2 linked regions of the Stegostoma tigrinum genome follow. The protein of the gene in region 1 binds, or shares a complex with, the protein of each later gene. Links are inferred from orthologs where the notes say so. Each region holds a gene or a part of one and is shown in the gene's direction. Other genes may lie near its edges. The genes, in order: aifm1 and mitochondrial intermembrane space import and assembly protein 40-like.

What was found.
Region 2: the proteins of aifm1 (region 1) and mitochondrial intermembrane space import and assembly protein 40-like are in contact, whole or in part, in a cryo-EM structure (PDB 9GQZ), measured with the Homo sapiens proteins. The link is inferred for Stegostoma tigrinum from reciprocal best matches to the Homo sapiens genes AIFM1 and CHCHD4. Residues at the interface, in NP_004199.1 of Homo sapiens: Pro345, Tyr347, Ser500, Ser501, Leu502, Pro503, Thr504, Val505, Gly506, Val507, Phe508, Ala509, Lys510, Glu558, Asp559, Tyr560, Asn602, Ala605, Lys606, Phe608, Asn609, Ile610, His611; in NP_001091972.1 of Homo sapiens: Arg5, Glu7, Lys9, Asp10, Arg11, Ile12, Ile13, Phe14, Val15, Thr16, Lys17, His20, Thr22, Pro23.

What each region holds. Positions count from the first base shown.
Region 1 is NC_081368.1:61,399,127-61,407,338, reverse strand, and holds the start of aifm1 (apoptosis-inducing factor 1, mitochondrial), read left to right. Parts: upstream 1-5,023; 5' UTR 5,024-5,171; coding exon 5,172-5,259; intron 5,260-8,212. UniProt on the Homo sapiens protein: Functions both as NADH oxidoreductase and as regulator of apoptosis.
Region 2 is NC_081364.1:2,799,614-2,807,215, reverse strand, and holds the start of mitochondrial intermembrane space import and assembly protein 40-like, read left to right. Parts: upstream 1-4,453; 5' UTR 4,454-4,579; coding exon 4,580-4,601; intron 4,602-7,602. Other genes in the region: transmembrane protein 43-like, read right to left, coding at 1,850-1,996, 2,857-2,871.

The sequences.
Region 1 (8,212 bases):
GGTGGAGTCACAAAACTCGAGGGCGAAGATTTGACGTGAGGAGGAGGATTTCAAAAGGACCTTAGTGGCAACTTTTTCAACAAAGGCTGATGAGTGTGTGCAGAACCAGCTTGCCGAGGAAGTAGTGGAGGCTGGTACAATTACAGCATTTAAAAGGTATCTGGATAGGTCAATGAATATGAGATAACAAGGTGTAGAGCTGGATGAACACAGCAGGCCAAGCAGCATCTGAGGAGCAGGAAGGCTGACATTTCGGGCCTAGACCTGTGATCTCAGATTCTCCAGCACTTGCAGTTCCTACTAACTCAGGTCAATGAATATGAAGGGTTTAGGGATATGGGCCAAATGCTGGCAAATGGGACTAGATTTGTTCAGGATATCTGGTCAGCAACGGATAACTTGTACCCCAAAGGGTCTGTTTCTGTGCTGTACAATTCTGACCTTATAAATGATTTCAAGGCAATAATCACATTTCAAAGTCATTTAAACAATTTTTTACTTAAATGACAGCAAAAGTAATAGATTCAGGCCTTGAACCTTCATGGTGTGCTTTGGCCAATCTGAGTCAACTTTTTCAGTCTCAATTGATCTGGTCATTGAAATTTGGTGTACTGATTTGTCCTGATAAATGTAACATTAAACTTTCGGCATCATCTTTTGCTGGGTCAAAATCCTGGAATTCCCTAAGGGCATTTTGGGTCTATGGACAGTACATGAATTGAAGAAAACAGCTCACAATCACCCTGTCAAGGGTAACCAGGAAGGCAATAAAAGTCAAACAGCCAACAATGGGCATGTCCAACAACTGAATTTTAAAAATGGTGTTTGTGGGCATAAACTAACATAAAGTACTTTCTGTGAAAAATTGTCATTCAGAATGAGTCCATTTTTACTCATGCTTTTCAACTTATTTTTAGAATATACAGAAACAGAAGAACATCAACATTTTTTTCTTTATTCATTCATAGGATGAGGGCATTGCTGGTGAGGCAGTATTTATTGCTCATCCTGAATTGCCTAGAAGGCAGTTTAGAGGCAACCACATTGCTGTGGGTCTAGAGTCACATGTAGGTCAGGTAAGGATGGCAGTTTCCCTCCCTAAAAAACATTAGTGAAAAAAATGAATTTTTTTCCTGCAACAGTCAACATTGGATTCACACTCTTTATTAGATTCTTAATTCCAGACGTTTATTAAATTCAAATTGCACCATCTGCTATGACAGGATTCAAACCTGGGTCCCCAGAACATTATCTGGGTCTCTAGATTAACACTCCAGTGATAATACCTCTAAGCCATCGCCGCCCTTTAGGAGCTGATGTAAGGTTTTCAGCCCTTCAAGCCTGCTCCAGCATTCAATATGATCACATCTGATATCCAACTCAATACCCTGTTTCTGATTTCTCCCCATACCTTTTGATTCCTTTAGCCCCAATAACAATATCTAAATCCTCCTGTAAATATTTCAATGTTTTGGCCTCAGATGTTTCCTGTGGCAAAGAATTTCATAAGCTCACCACTCTCTGGATGAAGAAACCTCTCCTCACTTCAGACCAAAATGGCCTTAAACTGTGACTCCTGGTGCTAGACTTGACAGTCATTGGTAACATAATTTTTGCATTTGTGCTAAATCCTGTTAGAATTGTGTTGGTTCCGATAAGATTCCCCTCATTCTTCCAAACTCCAGTGAATATCGTCATAATCCATCCAGCATGAAATCAGTCCTCCCATCCATGGAATTATATTGGTAAACCTTCAAAGAACTACCTTTATAGTCAGAACATCCTTCTTCAGAAGAGGAGACCAAAACTACATGCAATACTGCCGATACGGTTTTACCAAGGCCCTGTACTGCAGCAAGACATCACTCCTCCTGTGAAATATGACATCGTGCATGAGTCAGAGCTGTGGCAAAGGGTGCTGTGTCCTGAAAGGCAACAAAATAGTTGTGTAATAAAGTCATTAAGAAACCATACAAGAAGTGGAGGAAGTCTTGGAAACAAAGCTATTCATAGAATCATAGAATCCCTACATTGTGGAAACAGGACATTTGGCCCATCAAAACAACAGTGACCCTCCAAAGAGCTATCCAACCACACACACACCCTTATCCTATCTCTGTAAATATGCATTTCCCATGGCTAATCCACTTAGCACGTATTTTCCTGGACACTAGGGGCAATTTAGCATGGCCAATCCACCTAACCAACACATCGTTGGACTGTAGAAGGAAACCACAGTATCCAGAGGAAACCCACACAGGCACAGGGAGAATGTGCAGACTCCACACAGATAGTCGCCTGAGGCTGGAATTGAACGCAGATCCCTAGTTTTTGTGAGGTCACAGTGCTAACCACTGAGCACCAAGCAGCCCTTTCCCAACTTACATGTACTAGAAGAGATCTGGGCCGACTTTCAATCAGAATTTCATCTAAAACCATGAAAGTCAAGAACTCCCGTGTTGTCCAAATGATTGAGTGTGTCTCCTCAGAGGTTTTGCACGTGATTCAGTATAACAAGCACCAGCTCATCTCAGTCAAGGAGATCTAGAGGATTGTCCACCTTATGCTGCCAGGGAAATGGCCAAAGATGCTGTCTCGTTAGGCATAAAAGCAGACATCAAATGCACCAGCTTCTCTTAGGTCAACAATGTTAAAGAAAAATGATCTCTGCCCCTGTACTCCAATCTTCTCTCCATGAAGGCCAACAGACCACTTGCTTTCTTCACTTCCTACTCATGCCTGCATGCTTACTTTCAGTGACTGGCATCTGGTTGCTCCTCACACTTTCCCAATCTTCCATTCAGATGAAAATCTGTTTTTGCCACCAACGTTGATAACCTCACATTGTCCCACGTTGTACGTGAGCTGCTGTGCATTTGTCCACTCAGTTCACCTTGTCCAAATCACCCTTCAGCATCTCTGTATCCGCCTCACAGTTCCCCCTCCCACCCAGCCTTCGTGTTGTCTGCAAACCTGGACATTTAGTTTCCTCATCTAAATCATGAACGTTTATTATGAATAGGTGGGGGGAGGTGGTTGTCCAAGCACTCATCCCTGCAGTACCCCTGATTGCAGTCAGTTCCCGGCACTGGGGAAAATACTCGTTCTGAGGAAAGGGACACCAGACCCCGAAACAACAAAGTGAGGAGCTGGATGAACTGTGCAGGCCAAGCAGCATCTTGGGAGCACAAAAGCTGACATTTCGGGCCGAGACACTTCATCAGAAAAGGGGGATGGGGAGAGGATTCTGAAATAATTAGGGAGAGAGGGGGAGGTGGACCGAAGATGGATAGAGGAGAAGGCAAGTGGAGAGGAGAGTATGGGGAGGGGATAGGTCAGTCAGGGAGGATGGACAGGTCAAGGGGGCGGGATTGGGTTAGTAGGTAGGAAATGGACGTGCAGCTTGAGGTGGGAGAAAGGGATGGGTGAGAGGAAGAACAGGTTAGGCAGGCAGGGACGAGCTTGGCTGGTTTTGGGATGCAGTGGGGGGAGGGGAGATTTTGAAGCTGGTGAAATCCACATCGATACCATTGGGCTGCAGGGTTCCCAAGAGTAATATGAGATGCTGTTCCTGCAACCTTCGGGTGGCATCCTTGTGGCACTGCAGGAGGCTCAGGATGGACATGTCATCTAAGGAATGGGAGGGGGAGTTGAAATGGTTTGCGACTGGGAGATGTAGTTGTCTATTGCGAACCAAGTGGAGGTTTTCTGCAAAGCGGTCCCCAAGCCTCCGCGGGGTAGCCACACCGGGTACAGCAGATGCAGTATACCACACTGGCGGATGTGCAGGTCAACATCTGCTTGATGTGGAAAGTCATCTTGGGGCCTGGGATGGGGGTGAGAAAGGAGATCCGCATTTCCCACACTTCATGCCTCACACCCCGCCCCGGTAATAAGTGCCAAAAGAGAATCTCCCTCATCCTCACATACCACCCCACCAACCTCCGGATACAACGCATCATTCGCCGACACTTCCGCCATCTACAATCCAACTCCACCACTAAAGACATTTTTCCAACCCCACCCTTGTCTGCCTTCCGGAGAGACCACTCTCTCCGCGACTCCCTTGTCCGCTCCACACTCCCCTCCAGCCCCACCACACCCAGCACTTTCCCCTGCACCTCCTCTCTCACCCCTATCCCAGGCCCCAAGATGACTTTCCACATCAAGCAGATGTTCACCTGCACATCCACCAATGTGGTATATTGTATCCATTGTACCCGGTGTGGCTTCCTCTACATTGGGGAAACCAAGCAGAGGCTTGGGGACCGCTTTGCATAACACCTACGCTCGGTTCGTAATAAACAACTGCACGTCCCAGTCCCAAACCATTTCAACTGCCCCTCCCATTCCTTAGATGACATCCTGCAGTGCCATAACGTTGCAGGAACAGCACCTCATATTCCGCTTGGGAACCTTGCAGCCGAATGGTATCAATGTGGATTTCACAAGCTTCAAAATGTCCCATCCCCCCCAATCCATCCCAAAACCAGCCCAACTGGTCCGAGCCTGCCGAACGTGTTCTTCCTCTCACCGATCCCCTCCTCCCACTTCAAGCCACACCTCCATTTCCAACCTACAAACCTCATCCCGCCCCCTTGACCTGTCCGTACTGACCCAGCGATCCGCCTCCCCCCTTTCTCCCTATTTATTTCAGAACCCTCTCCCCATCCCTCTCTCTGATGAAGGGTCTAAGCCTGAAATATCAGCTTTTGTGCTCCTGAGATGCTGCTTGGTCTGCTGTGTTCATCCAGCTCTACGCTTTTGTTATCTCGGATTCTCCAGCATCTGCAGTTCCTATTATCCCGGACCCCGAAACGTTCACTCCGATTTTTCTTCTGCACAGACGCTGCCAGGATCTGTTAAACTTTTCCAGCAACGTCTCTAATCGACAGTATCTCAATTCTTTTGGGGAAGGGGGGGAGCGGAAGCTCTTCTCTTCTCCCGCTGCCTCTCGACGACTGTTGACATCTTCCCTCTGCCGGCCGCTAGGGGGTGAGAGCGCGGGCGGGTGCTGCCGCCGACGTGTCTGATCGGCGCCTGCGCGGAGACGGAGGGCCGGCTGAAGTTTGTGAGGGGGTGCGAGACGGCATTTTCTTTGTAGCGGTTGGGGGCGTGTGTTGTGGATGATGGCGGGGTAACGAGATTGACTGACCGATCGAGCCGGAACCATGCTGCGGACCAGGGCGACATGGCAGACGCTACTGCCGCTGAGCAGAGCGGCGTCGGTGCTAGTGAGGGGTAGCGCCAGGAAACGAGGTGAGGTGGGACGAGGGGACGGTTTGGCGGACAGCTGGCTGTAGGCCGCGGGTTTAGCTCTCGTCGCCGGGGCCAAGGTCGTGGGAAACCCCGCAGGCTATAAACTTTCTGCTTTTGGGGGCCCTTTCCCTCCCTTCCCCACTACTTGTCCCGTTCGTCCAAGTATGTGCCCTGAGCACCCTGCTGTTCACCTTGGCTTTCACTGGTAGGTCACAAACCAGAAGTTGCAGGCTGTGCCTTGAACTGCTTCTTCTCGCAATTGTTCACAAAGCATTAACTGGCCGAGCGGATCTGCCCGAGAAAATACTATTCTTTGGTATGTGTCCGTGTTTTTTGACCCCCCCCCTCTCCAAATCAGGTACAGCCGTTAGTTTTACGAAAGCTGTATAGGTCTCGCCTTGGCAGTTGGCACTTTCTTTACTGGTCCAAGGTCAGTGTCACCAAGAGCAACTCTATAAACCGGGAAGTCGCATTCCGTGCAAAAATCTTCCTGAACGTGGTGCAAAAGCAGATCGCTGCCGAGACCGGAGAGCTAAATCAAAAGCAAGATGCTCAACAGGTCACAGAAACAGAATTAACGTTTAAGTCCGAGATACCAAGGTGGAGAGCTGGATGAACACGGCGGGCCAAGCAGCATCAGAGGAACAGGAAGGCCGAGACCCTTTATTTAGAATATTTAGGTCCATAACTTGTCGACAAAGCCGGCGAGAAATACAACCGTAAAGTACGTGAAGATGCTAGAAAGTGAGGAAGGTAGGGACAAAAATCAATTTCTGTGAAGGTGTCGATGAGAGCAGTGTTTTCGATGCAGTATGTTTGGACGCCAGCTAGACTTTTGATCAGGTCCTGCATGGAATATTGGTAGCAAAGCTTAGAACCCATGGCACCTGAGGAAATTTGGCAAATTGGATGCTCGGCTGAATGGCAGGAAGTAGAAAGTTGTGTTGTTTTTCTGACTGGAAATCTGTCAAGTGGGGCTGAACAAGGTTTGGTTTTGGGACTCTTGCTGTTTGTACGTTATATAAATGATTTAGAGTTGAATGTAGGAGGGTTGGTCATTAAGATTATGTAATATAAAAATTGGGGTGATAAATGGTGAGGAGGATAGCCTTACATGTAAAGAAACTGGTCAAATGGGTTAAACAGGGGCAAATGGAATTCAGTCTGGGTAACTGTGCGGTGTATAAACAAGGCAAGGGAACACATGAATGAGGATACTGGCAAGTGCCAAGGATCAGAGGGATTGAGATGTGTATGTACACCAATCCCCAGAAAGTGGGAGCAAATTACTGCAGATGCTGGAACCTGTACTGAAAACAAAAAAACACTCTAGAAGTTACAGTGGACCAGGTAGCATCCACAGAGAGAGAGCAAGCTAATGTTTCAAGTCCAGATGACTGTTTTTCAGCGCTATAAGATGGGATTAGAATGGTGAAGTGACTGACTGTTTGTTTGTTTGTTTGTTTGTTTGTTTGTTTTTGACTGGTTAAGTGGCAGATGCGATGGGATGAAGAACCTTTTTCTGTATTGTACATCTCTGTGGTGGGATGAAACGACAGAAGAGACAATGACCAAGGCAAAAGAGTGGTAGTGAAACCAACGATCACCAGCCCATGATATTTGGATTAATGATTATGGGCAGTGTTTATGGTGTGAAAGTGTTAAATTTAATGTTAAGCCCAACATGTTGAAGATGTCTAATCAAAAAATGAGATTGTCTTCATTGAGATGCCCTTTGAACTTCATGTGATCAATATAAGAGGCTCAGGGTGGAGAGGGAGAGAATTAAGAAGGCAGGCAAGCAGGCACTCAAGATTACACTGGCAGACTGAATAAAGATGTCCTGCAAAGCAGTTTAGTATGTTCCTCTCACTAGTGGATTGGTGTATACACTGGTTAGTGTGCCATGGAAACAGTTGATGGTGTCAAGAGTGCATCAAGCTGTTGCAGAAGGACTGATAACAAAGTGTGGAGCTGGATGAACACAGCAGGCCAAGCAGCATCTCAGGAGCACAAAAGCTGACGTTTCAGGCCTCGACCCTTCATCGGAGAAGGGGATGGGGAGAGGGTTCTGGAATAAATAGGGAGAGACGGGAAGGCGGACCAAAGATGGCGAGAAAAGAAGATAGGTAGGGAGGGGATAGGCCAGTCCAGGGAAGACGGACAGGTCAAGGAGGTGGGATGAGGTTAGGTAGGAAATGGAGGTGCGGCTTGAGATGGGAGGAAGGGATGGGTGAGAGGAAGAACAGGTTAGGGAGGCAGAGACAGGCTGGGCTGGTTTTGGAATGCAGTGGGGGGGAGGGGATGAGCTGGGCTGGTTGTGTGATGCAGTGGGGGGAGGGGACGAACTGGGCTGGTTGTGGGATGCGGTGGGGGAAGGGGAGATTTTGAAGCTTGTGAAGTCCACATTGATACCATTGGGCTGCAGGGTTCCCAAGCGGAATATGAGTTGCTGTTCCTGCAACCTTCGGGTGGCATCCTTGTGGCACTGCAGGCGGCCCATGATGGACATGTCATCTGAAGAATGGGAGGGAGTTAAAATGGCTTGCGACTGGGAGGTGCAGTTGTTTATTGCGAACCGAGCTGAGGTGTTCTGCAGAGCGGTCCCCAAGCCTCCGCTCGGTTTCCCCAATGTAGAGGAAACCATACCGGGTACAATGGATTCAGTAACAGCTTTGCAGAACACCTCCGCTCGGTTTGCAATAAACAACTGCACCTCCAAGTCGTGAACCATTTTAACTCCCCCTCCCATTCTTCAGATGACATGTCCATCATGGGCCTCCTGCAGTGCCACAAGGATGCCACCCGAAGGTTGCAGGAACAGCAACTCATATTCCACTTGGGAACCCTGCAGCCCAATGGTATCAATGTGGACTTCACCAGCTTCAAAATCTCCCCTTCCCCCACCGCATCCCACAACCTGCCCAGTTCATCCCCTCCCCCCACTGTATCA
Region 2 (7,602 bases), on another chromosome or scaffold:
CTTCACTGTGCTCCAATCTGGGTACAAGTCAGTTTGTGAATGGGGTCAGGACTGGGACCCATTCCCAACCCAGCGAGTGCCTGCATGTGCTACCGTTTTCTTTCCAGATGGTAACTGTTATGGTTTTAGGAGATGTTGTCAGAGGAGCCTTGTAAATAAACCTGCTTTTATAGAACTACATCAGCACAATATAAAATGTTCCAAGACATTTCACAAGAACGTAGATTAGAGAATAACCGTCACCCAGCAACATAAAAATGCAGCATTAGTGACCAAAATCTCAAACAGACCGGCATCTTAAAGGAGGATAGAGAGATAAAGAAAGAGACAATTAGAGAGGTTTATGGAGGGAATTCTAGAGTGTTGAGTCCAGACAGCTGTCGGTATAGCATTCAATGGCGGAGGGATTAAAATCACAGATACTCCAGGGATTAGAATTGGAGCGAGGCAGAGATATCGGAGGATTTGGGGACTGGAAGAGGTTACAGCAAGATGTAAAGTGCGAGTCTATGTTGGGTTCAAACAAGTGGTTGATGATTTTTTCAATGGAATTACCGTCAGACTGTGAGCAAAACGTTCATCAACAACACACATGGGCAATGTTCCTGGTAACTGCACCAAGCAGAATATTCTGTGTCACTGCCCTACCACGCTGCTGTGCCCAGTTTACAGGGAATACTAGTGAGCGGTAACCGGGACATGACAACATCTAGAAGAACTCAGATAGCCAGAGGAAGGAAGATGGTGTTATTTCAAGGGACTTCAACATTCTTAAGCACAAGATCACTTTTTGAGTTTTAGTGCAAACAAGAATCTACCTGAAAGAAAATAATGCATTTATTTTTAGTATATCTGATTATTCATTTTGTCTTCTACATATAGGCTCAGTATGTTATCCTCCTCTTTGAGTAGCCAAATTATAATTTGAACTAGCTAGTTCTATACAGTCCATCACACGGGCATTTGTGAGGCAGGTGAGATACTTGGACTTGATTATCTGTATTTGGGAGAATGCTGTCTCAGAGGGATGTGGTACCAAAGCTTTCATTGTAAAACCACAGGATAATAGCAGTGTGTATTTTTCTCTGTTTACAAATCTCCAAACATCACTGTCCCTTGTTCCAGCTTCCAGCTCAATATCATTTGGCACAGTTAATTATGTCCACTTCAATACCACGGACTTGTAAATCAAATACCTAATGGAATCTGATAGCCAGCCCAACAACGTCTACTTGAAGGAAGAGACCGGAGGGAGACATGACCGTTCATTCCAATGCATCTAATTCCTGAAATTAGCCTGTAGAAATGATCCCACATTGCTAAGTCTCTATCCTCTCTGTGCAGTTCACAGTTCAGCTCATTCAGCTTTGATCTTTTATCTGTAAGGAACATGAAGCCAAGTAACGACACATTGGCAGCTCACTGCACACCTCATTCCTTCTTGAGTGTTGTTAGAGCTGCATCCATCCAGGCAAGTGGGGAGTATTCCATCACACTCCTGACTTGTGCCTTTAGATGGTTAGATGTGTTTTGGGGAGTCAGGAGGGGAGTTACACACCGGTGTATTCCTAGCCTCTGACCTGCTCTTGTAGCCACGTTGTTTACGTTTTGTTGTGTATCAAATCCAGTTAAGTTTCACATCAACGTTCCTCATCATGCATTTTACAAAAACTATCACCTCAGATTCTTCTGTTTGCCCAGGTCCCTGATGTGGGATTTGAACCCATGAACTTCTGATTCAGAAATGAGCGCGAGCTACCCACTGAGCAACAGACACTGATACCACAAATTGAACAGGATAACTGATGCCTGCCCAGAAAACAGCATGTAATCCAACCTCTGCACCTACCTCATTGGTGAAGAGGAGGTAGAAGGACAAGGTGAAGATAAGCACTCCCACCACCATTCCCCCCATTGTCTCCCCAAGACGTTCCAGGAATCCCTGCTTCTTCTGATTTGTGACCTTCACGTGTTCATCCCTGCTGCCTCCTGGTTGCTGCAAAACCAGAAGGGACAAGCTTTCATGAATCTTTAAGTACCATCTTAAAAGCGAAATGAAGACAGATGAACTTTGTAAACATTTTCACGGGATGTGGAATAGTATTGGCTAGGCTGGCCATCTCTAAATTCCCTTCAAAATGTTGTCTGCCTTCATTAACTGCTGCAGGCCATTCAGTACAGGCACACCCAAAAACAGAAGGTGTTTAAACAACAGTGACACAATTTTTGATGTTGGGCTGTGGGCATTCCTGGTCAGACTGACATTTATTGCCCATTCATTTTACCCAGAACCAGTATAATTGAGCTGACTGACTTAGCTGAGGATCTTACACAGCATTTAAAATATAATCTTGACAAATGGGTCTGAAGTCATTTACACATCGTCAGTGACATCTCACTAACCAAGACTTGCACCCTCCCACCCATTATGTTTTGATTATAGTGCAGCATCATTTTGATTTGCTCTGGCACTGGCCAACAATTGTGCTGATTAGAAACAAAAAAAACAGCAACTGATGGAGAGTTGTTGGCTTCAGTCCAGGGCCATAGTAGACATAGGGAAGGGTTGGTGGTTCTGATTGGGGGGGGGGGGGGGGGGGGAGGTAGGGAGAAGGACTCTGGTTAGCCCCTTTGATTTTACAAGAAGAGATATCAGATCTCTTGCAAATATGCCAGGGAGATGGGAACTTTGTCTTCCTCAGGTTCAAAGCTGTGCCACGTGGATCTGGGCTGTCAGAATATAGAAGGGAACTCCCTTCCCCAGGAATATCTTCAGATGATAATGTGTCCAACGCCAATTCAGATTAATCTTCACCTGCACGTTGACAAGGCTGTTGTTTGTGGTTCTGAACTTACATTAGGCCTCACCATGGTTTCCCTGCCAATAACACACACTGAGGGGGGAGACCACAGTCAGCTCTAGCCCCTCTCACACCTTCACTTCCGGCTTCAAGGGGGATACATTCTGCGCCTGCGCACTCCTGAGGGACGGACCTACTCCCGTGAAGCTTGCCGGGAGATGGTGTCGACTCCCCAGGAATGCTGGGGATTGTAGTCTTACCTACCGGAGGATGCTGGGTGGTGGCCTCCCCGGGCTCCGCCTGGGAAGGTTAGGACCCTCCCGCAAGCATGCTGGGAGCTGTAGTTTTCTTCAGCTTGAACCTGGTCCCCAGGGAAAATGAAACCCCAGTATATAAATGACTTTATTCACCTGCATCCACTCATATTGAGGTGATTGCACAATTGTACTGAACATGGCCACACAAAATTTCAAGACCATCTTAGCTTGGAGCAGGGACAGCCCCTGACTTATACTGTCAAAACTTCTCAAAACTCACTTATACTGCCATTCTATAAGTTCATACTCATCCAATTGTGTCTTTCACTGCACTTTCCTGCTGGTCAATTCTACAGATTAATCACATGTTATTACATATTGTACAATATTTGAGCCTGTGGATTCTATAGATTAAAATAAAACAATGAATTACAAATGCTGGAAATCTAAAACAAAAATAGAAATTGCTGGAGAAACTCAGTAGGACTGACAGCAACTGTGGGAAGAAAGCACAGGGTCCAGAGACTCTTCATCAGAGCTGGTATGAGCCAGAAAAATGTGATATTTATGCTGAAGCTGAAGCTGGGAATCTGAAGGGGAGATGAGGGCGGATTGGTGGAGACGGAGCCCAGAGACAGAGATATGAAAGAGCTAGGTAGACAGGGAAATTACGGGTAGCAGGCCAGAATAGAAAAAAAACTGAATATGTGACAATGAGAGCTAAGAGTAGGAGAAAATCGGTGAGCTGTACAGAATGTAACCTAGTCTGCGTCACACAAACCGCTTTGCAGAAAACCAAGCTCTGTCTGCAAAAATGATCCTAAGCTTTCTGTTGCCTGCCACTTCAACACACCGCTGTGTTCTCATGCCAAAATTTCTGTTGCAGGCTTGCTGTAGAGTTCCAGCCAACCTCAATGCAAGGTCAAAGAACATCTTACTTTCCACTCGGGGATCTTGTGGCCTCTAGAACTCAACAATGAGTTCAATAACCTTAAGAGCCTAATACAGTCCGTCCATGCTTTTTACCCACAGCCACACCTGATTCTCTCAATGACCACAATCACCCATTCTCACAAACTCGTTGGTCCATTATAACTTAATAAATATTGTTTATTCAGTAGGTGGATGTGATGGATATTATACATTCCATAGGGTGGGTATTATGGACAATATACATTCCATAGGGTGGGTTTACGGAAAATATAGATTCTACAGGGTAGGTATTGTGGACATTATACATTCTAATGGATTAGTATGACGGACATTGTGCATTCTATAGGGTGTATGTTATAGATTCCATAGGGTAGGTGCTTTGGGCCGTCTCTGCGGCTTTAAATTGGGCCCCCGGTTCTGGCCCCGCCCTCTCGCTGTGATTGGTTCCTGCCTGTGGGTCAGAGGTCAGGCCGGGAGCACGGGCCGGAGACTGAGAAACACATTTCTTCCCCACCCCCCCGGACACGAACCCTCACACAGAGAGAGAGAGAGAGAGAGAGACAGAGAGAGAGACAGAGAGAGAGAGAGATGTCCCACTGCCGGCGGCACGGTGAGGGGCCGGGGGGGTGGGGAACGGAGGGTCAGGTGTGAGGGTGAGGGGGTGAGGGGGGTGAGGAGGGGGGTGGGGGAGGGGGGTGAGGAGGGGGTGAGGAGGGGGGTGGGTGAGGAGGGGGGTGGGTGAGGGGGTGGGGGAACGGAGGGTCAGGTGTGAGGGTGAGGAGGGGGTGAGGAGGGGGGTGGGTGAGGGGGTGAGGGGGGTGAGGAGGGGAGGGGGGTGAGGAGGGGGGTAGGGGAGGGGGGTGAGGAGGGGGGTGGGGGAGGGGGGTGGGTGAGGGGGTGGGGGTGGGGGAGGGGGGTGGGTGAGGGGGTGGGGGGGGTGAGGAGGGGGGTGGGTGAGGGGGGTGAGGAGGGGGGTGGGTGAGGGGGGTGAGGAGGGGGTGGGGGGGGTGGGGGGGGTGAGGGGGGTGAGGAGTGGGGGGGGTGAGGGGGGTGAGGAGGGGGGTGGGTGAGGGGGTGAGGGGGGTGGGTGAGGGGGTGAGGGGGGTGGGTGAGGAGGGGGGTGGGTGAGGAGGGGGGTGGGTGAGGGGGGTGGGTGGGGTGAGGGGGGTGGGTGAGGGGGGTGGGTGAGGTGAGGGGGGTGGGTGAGGGGGGTGGGTGAGGGGGGTGGGTGAGGTGAGGGGGGTGGGTGAGGGGGGTGGGGAGGGGGGGGGGGTGAGGAGGGGGGGGGGTGAGGAGGGGGGGAGGGTGAGGAGGGGTGTGAGGAGGGGGGGAGGGTGAGGGGGGTGGGTGAGGAGGGGGGGAGGGGGAGGGGGGGAGGGTGAGGGGGGTGGGTGAGGGGGGTGAGGAGGGGGGTGGGTGAGGGGGGTGGGTGAGGGGGGTGGGTGAGGGGGGTGAGGAGGGGGGGTGGGTGAGGGGGTGGGGGGGGTGGGGTGGGTGAGGGGGGTGAGGGGTGGGGTGGGTGAGGGGGGTGGGGTGGGTGAGGGGGGGTGAGGAGGTGGGGTGGGTGAGGGGGTTGAGGAGGTGGGGTGGGTGAGGGGGTTGAGGAGGTGAGGGGGTTGAGGAGGTGGGGTGGGTGAGGGGGGTGAGGAGGTGGGGTGGGTGAGGAGGGGGGTGAGGAGGTGGGGTGGGTGAGGAGGTGGGGTGGGTGAGGAGGGGGGTGAGGAGGTGGGGTGGGTGAGGAGGTGGGGTGGGTGAGGAGGGGGGTGAGGAGGTGGGGTGGGTGAGGAGGTGGGGTGGGTGAGGGGGTGGGGGGGGGTGAGGGGGTGAGGAGGGGGGTGGGTGAGGGGGTGGGGGGGGTGAGGAGGGGGGTGGGTGAGGGGGTGGGGGGGGTGAGGGGGGTGAGGAGGGGGGTGGGTGAGGGGGTGGGGGGGGTGAGGGGGGTGAGGAGGGGGGTGGGTGAGGGGGTGGGGGGGGTGAGGGGGGTGAGGAGGGGGGTGGGTGAGGGGGTGGGTGAGGGGGTGAGGGGGGTGAGGGGGTGGGGGGGGGGTGAGGGGGGTGGGGGGGGTGAGGGGGGTGGGAGGGGGGTGGGTGAGGGGGGTGGGTGAGGGGGTGGGTGAGGGGGTGGGTGAGGGGGTGAGGGGGGTGAGGAGGGGGGTGGGTGAGGGGGTGGGGGGGGTGAGGGGGGTGGGTGAGGGGGGTGAGGAGGGGGGGTGGGTGAGGGGGGTGAGGGGTGGGGTGGGTGAGGGGGGTGGGGTGGGTGAGGTGGGTGAGGGGGTGGGGTGGGGTGGGTGAGGGGGTGGGGTGGGGTGGGTGAGGGGGGTGAAGAGGGGGGTGAGGAGGTGGGGTGGGTGAGGGGGGTGAGGAGGTGGGGTGGGTGAGGGGGGTGAGGAGGTGGGGGGGGTGAGGGGGTTGAGGAGGTGGGGGGGGTGAGGGGGTTGAGGAGGTGGGGTGGGTGAGGGGGTTGAGGAGGTGAGGGGGTTGAGGAGGTGGGGTTGAGGAGGTGGGGTGGGTGAGGGGGTTGAGGAGGTGAGGGGGTTGAGGAGGTGGGGTTGAGGAGGGGGGTGAGGAGGTGGGGTGGGTGAGGAGGTGGGGTGGGTGAGGGGGGTGAGGAGGGGGGGTGGGTGAGGGGGGTGAGGAGGGGGGTGGGTGAGGGGGGTGAGGAGGGGGGTGGGTGAGGGGGGGTGAGGGGGGGTGAGGAGGGGGGGGTGAGGGGGGTGAGGAGGTGGGGTGGGTGAGGGGGGTGAGGAGGTGGGGTGGGTGAGGGGGGTGAGGAGGTGGGGTGGGTGAGGGGGTTGAGGAGGTGGGGTGGGTGAGGGGGTGAGGAGGGGGGTGAGGAGGTGGGGTGGGTGAGGAGGTGGGGTGGGTGAGGGGGGTGAGGAGGTGGGGTGGGTGAGGGGGGTGAGGAGGTGGGGTGGGTGAGGAGGTGGGGTGGGTGAGGGGGTGGGGTGGGTGAGGGGGGTGAGGAGGTGGGGTGGGTGAGGGGGGTGAGGAGGTGGGGTGGGTGAGGGGGGTGAGGAGGTGGGGTGGGTGAGGGGGGTGAGGAGGTGAGGGGGGTGAGGAGGTGGGGTGGGTGAGGGGGGTGAGGAGGTGGGATGTGTGAGGGGTGGGTGAGGGGGGTGAGGAGGTGGGGTGGGTGAGCGGGAGGTGGGGTGGGTGAGCGGGGGGTGAGGGGGGTGAGGAGGTGGGGGGGTGAGGGGGGTGAGGAGGTGGGGGGGTGAGGGGGGTGAGGAGGTGGGGGGGTGAGGGGGGTGAGGAGGTGGGGGGGTGAGGGGGGTGAGGAGGTGGGGGGGTGAGGAGGTGGGGGGGTGAGGGGGGTGAGGAGGTGGGGGGGTGAGGGGGGTGAGGAGGTGGGGGGGGTGAGGGGGGTGAGGAGGTGGGGAGTGAGGGGGGTGAGGAGGTGGGGGGGTGAGGGGTGTGAGGAGGGGGGGTGAGGGGTGTGAGGAGGGGGGGGTGAGGGGGGTGAGGAGGGGGGGGTGAGGAGGTGGGGGGGTGGGGGGGGTGAGGAGGTGGGGGGGTGAGGGGGGGGTGAGGAGGGGGGGTGAGGGGGGTGGGTGAGTGGGGTGGGGTGAGGTGGGTGAGGAGGTGGGGGGGTGAGGGGGTTGAGGAGGGGT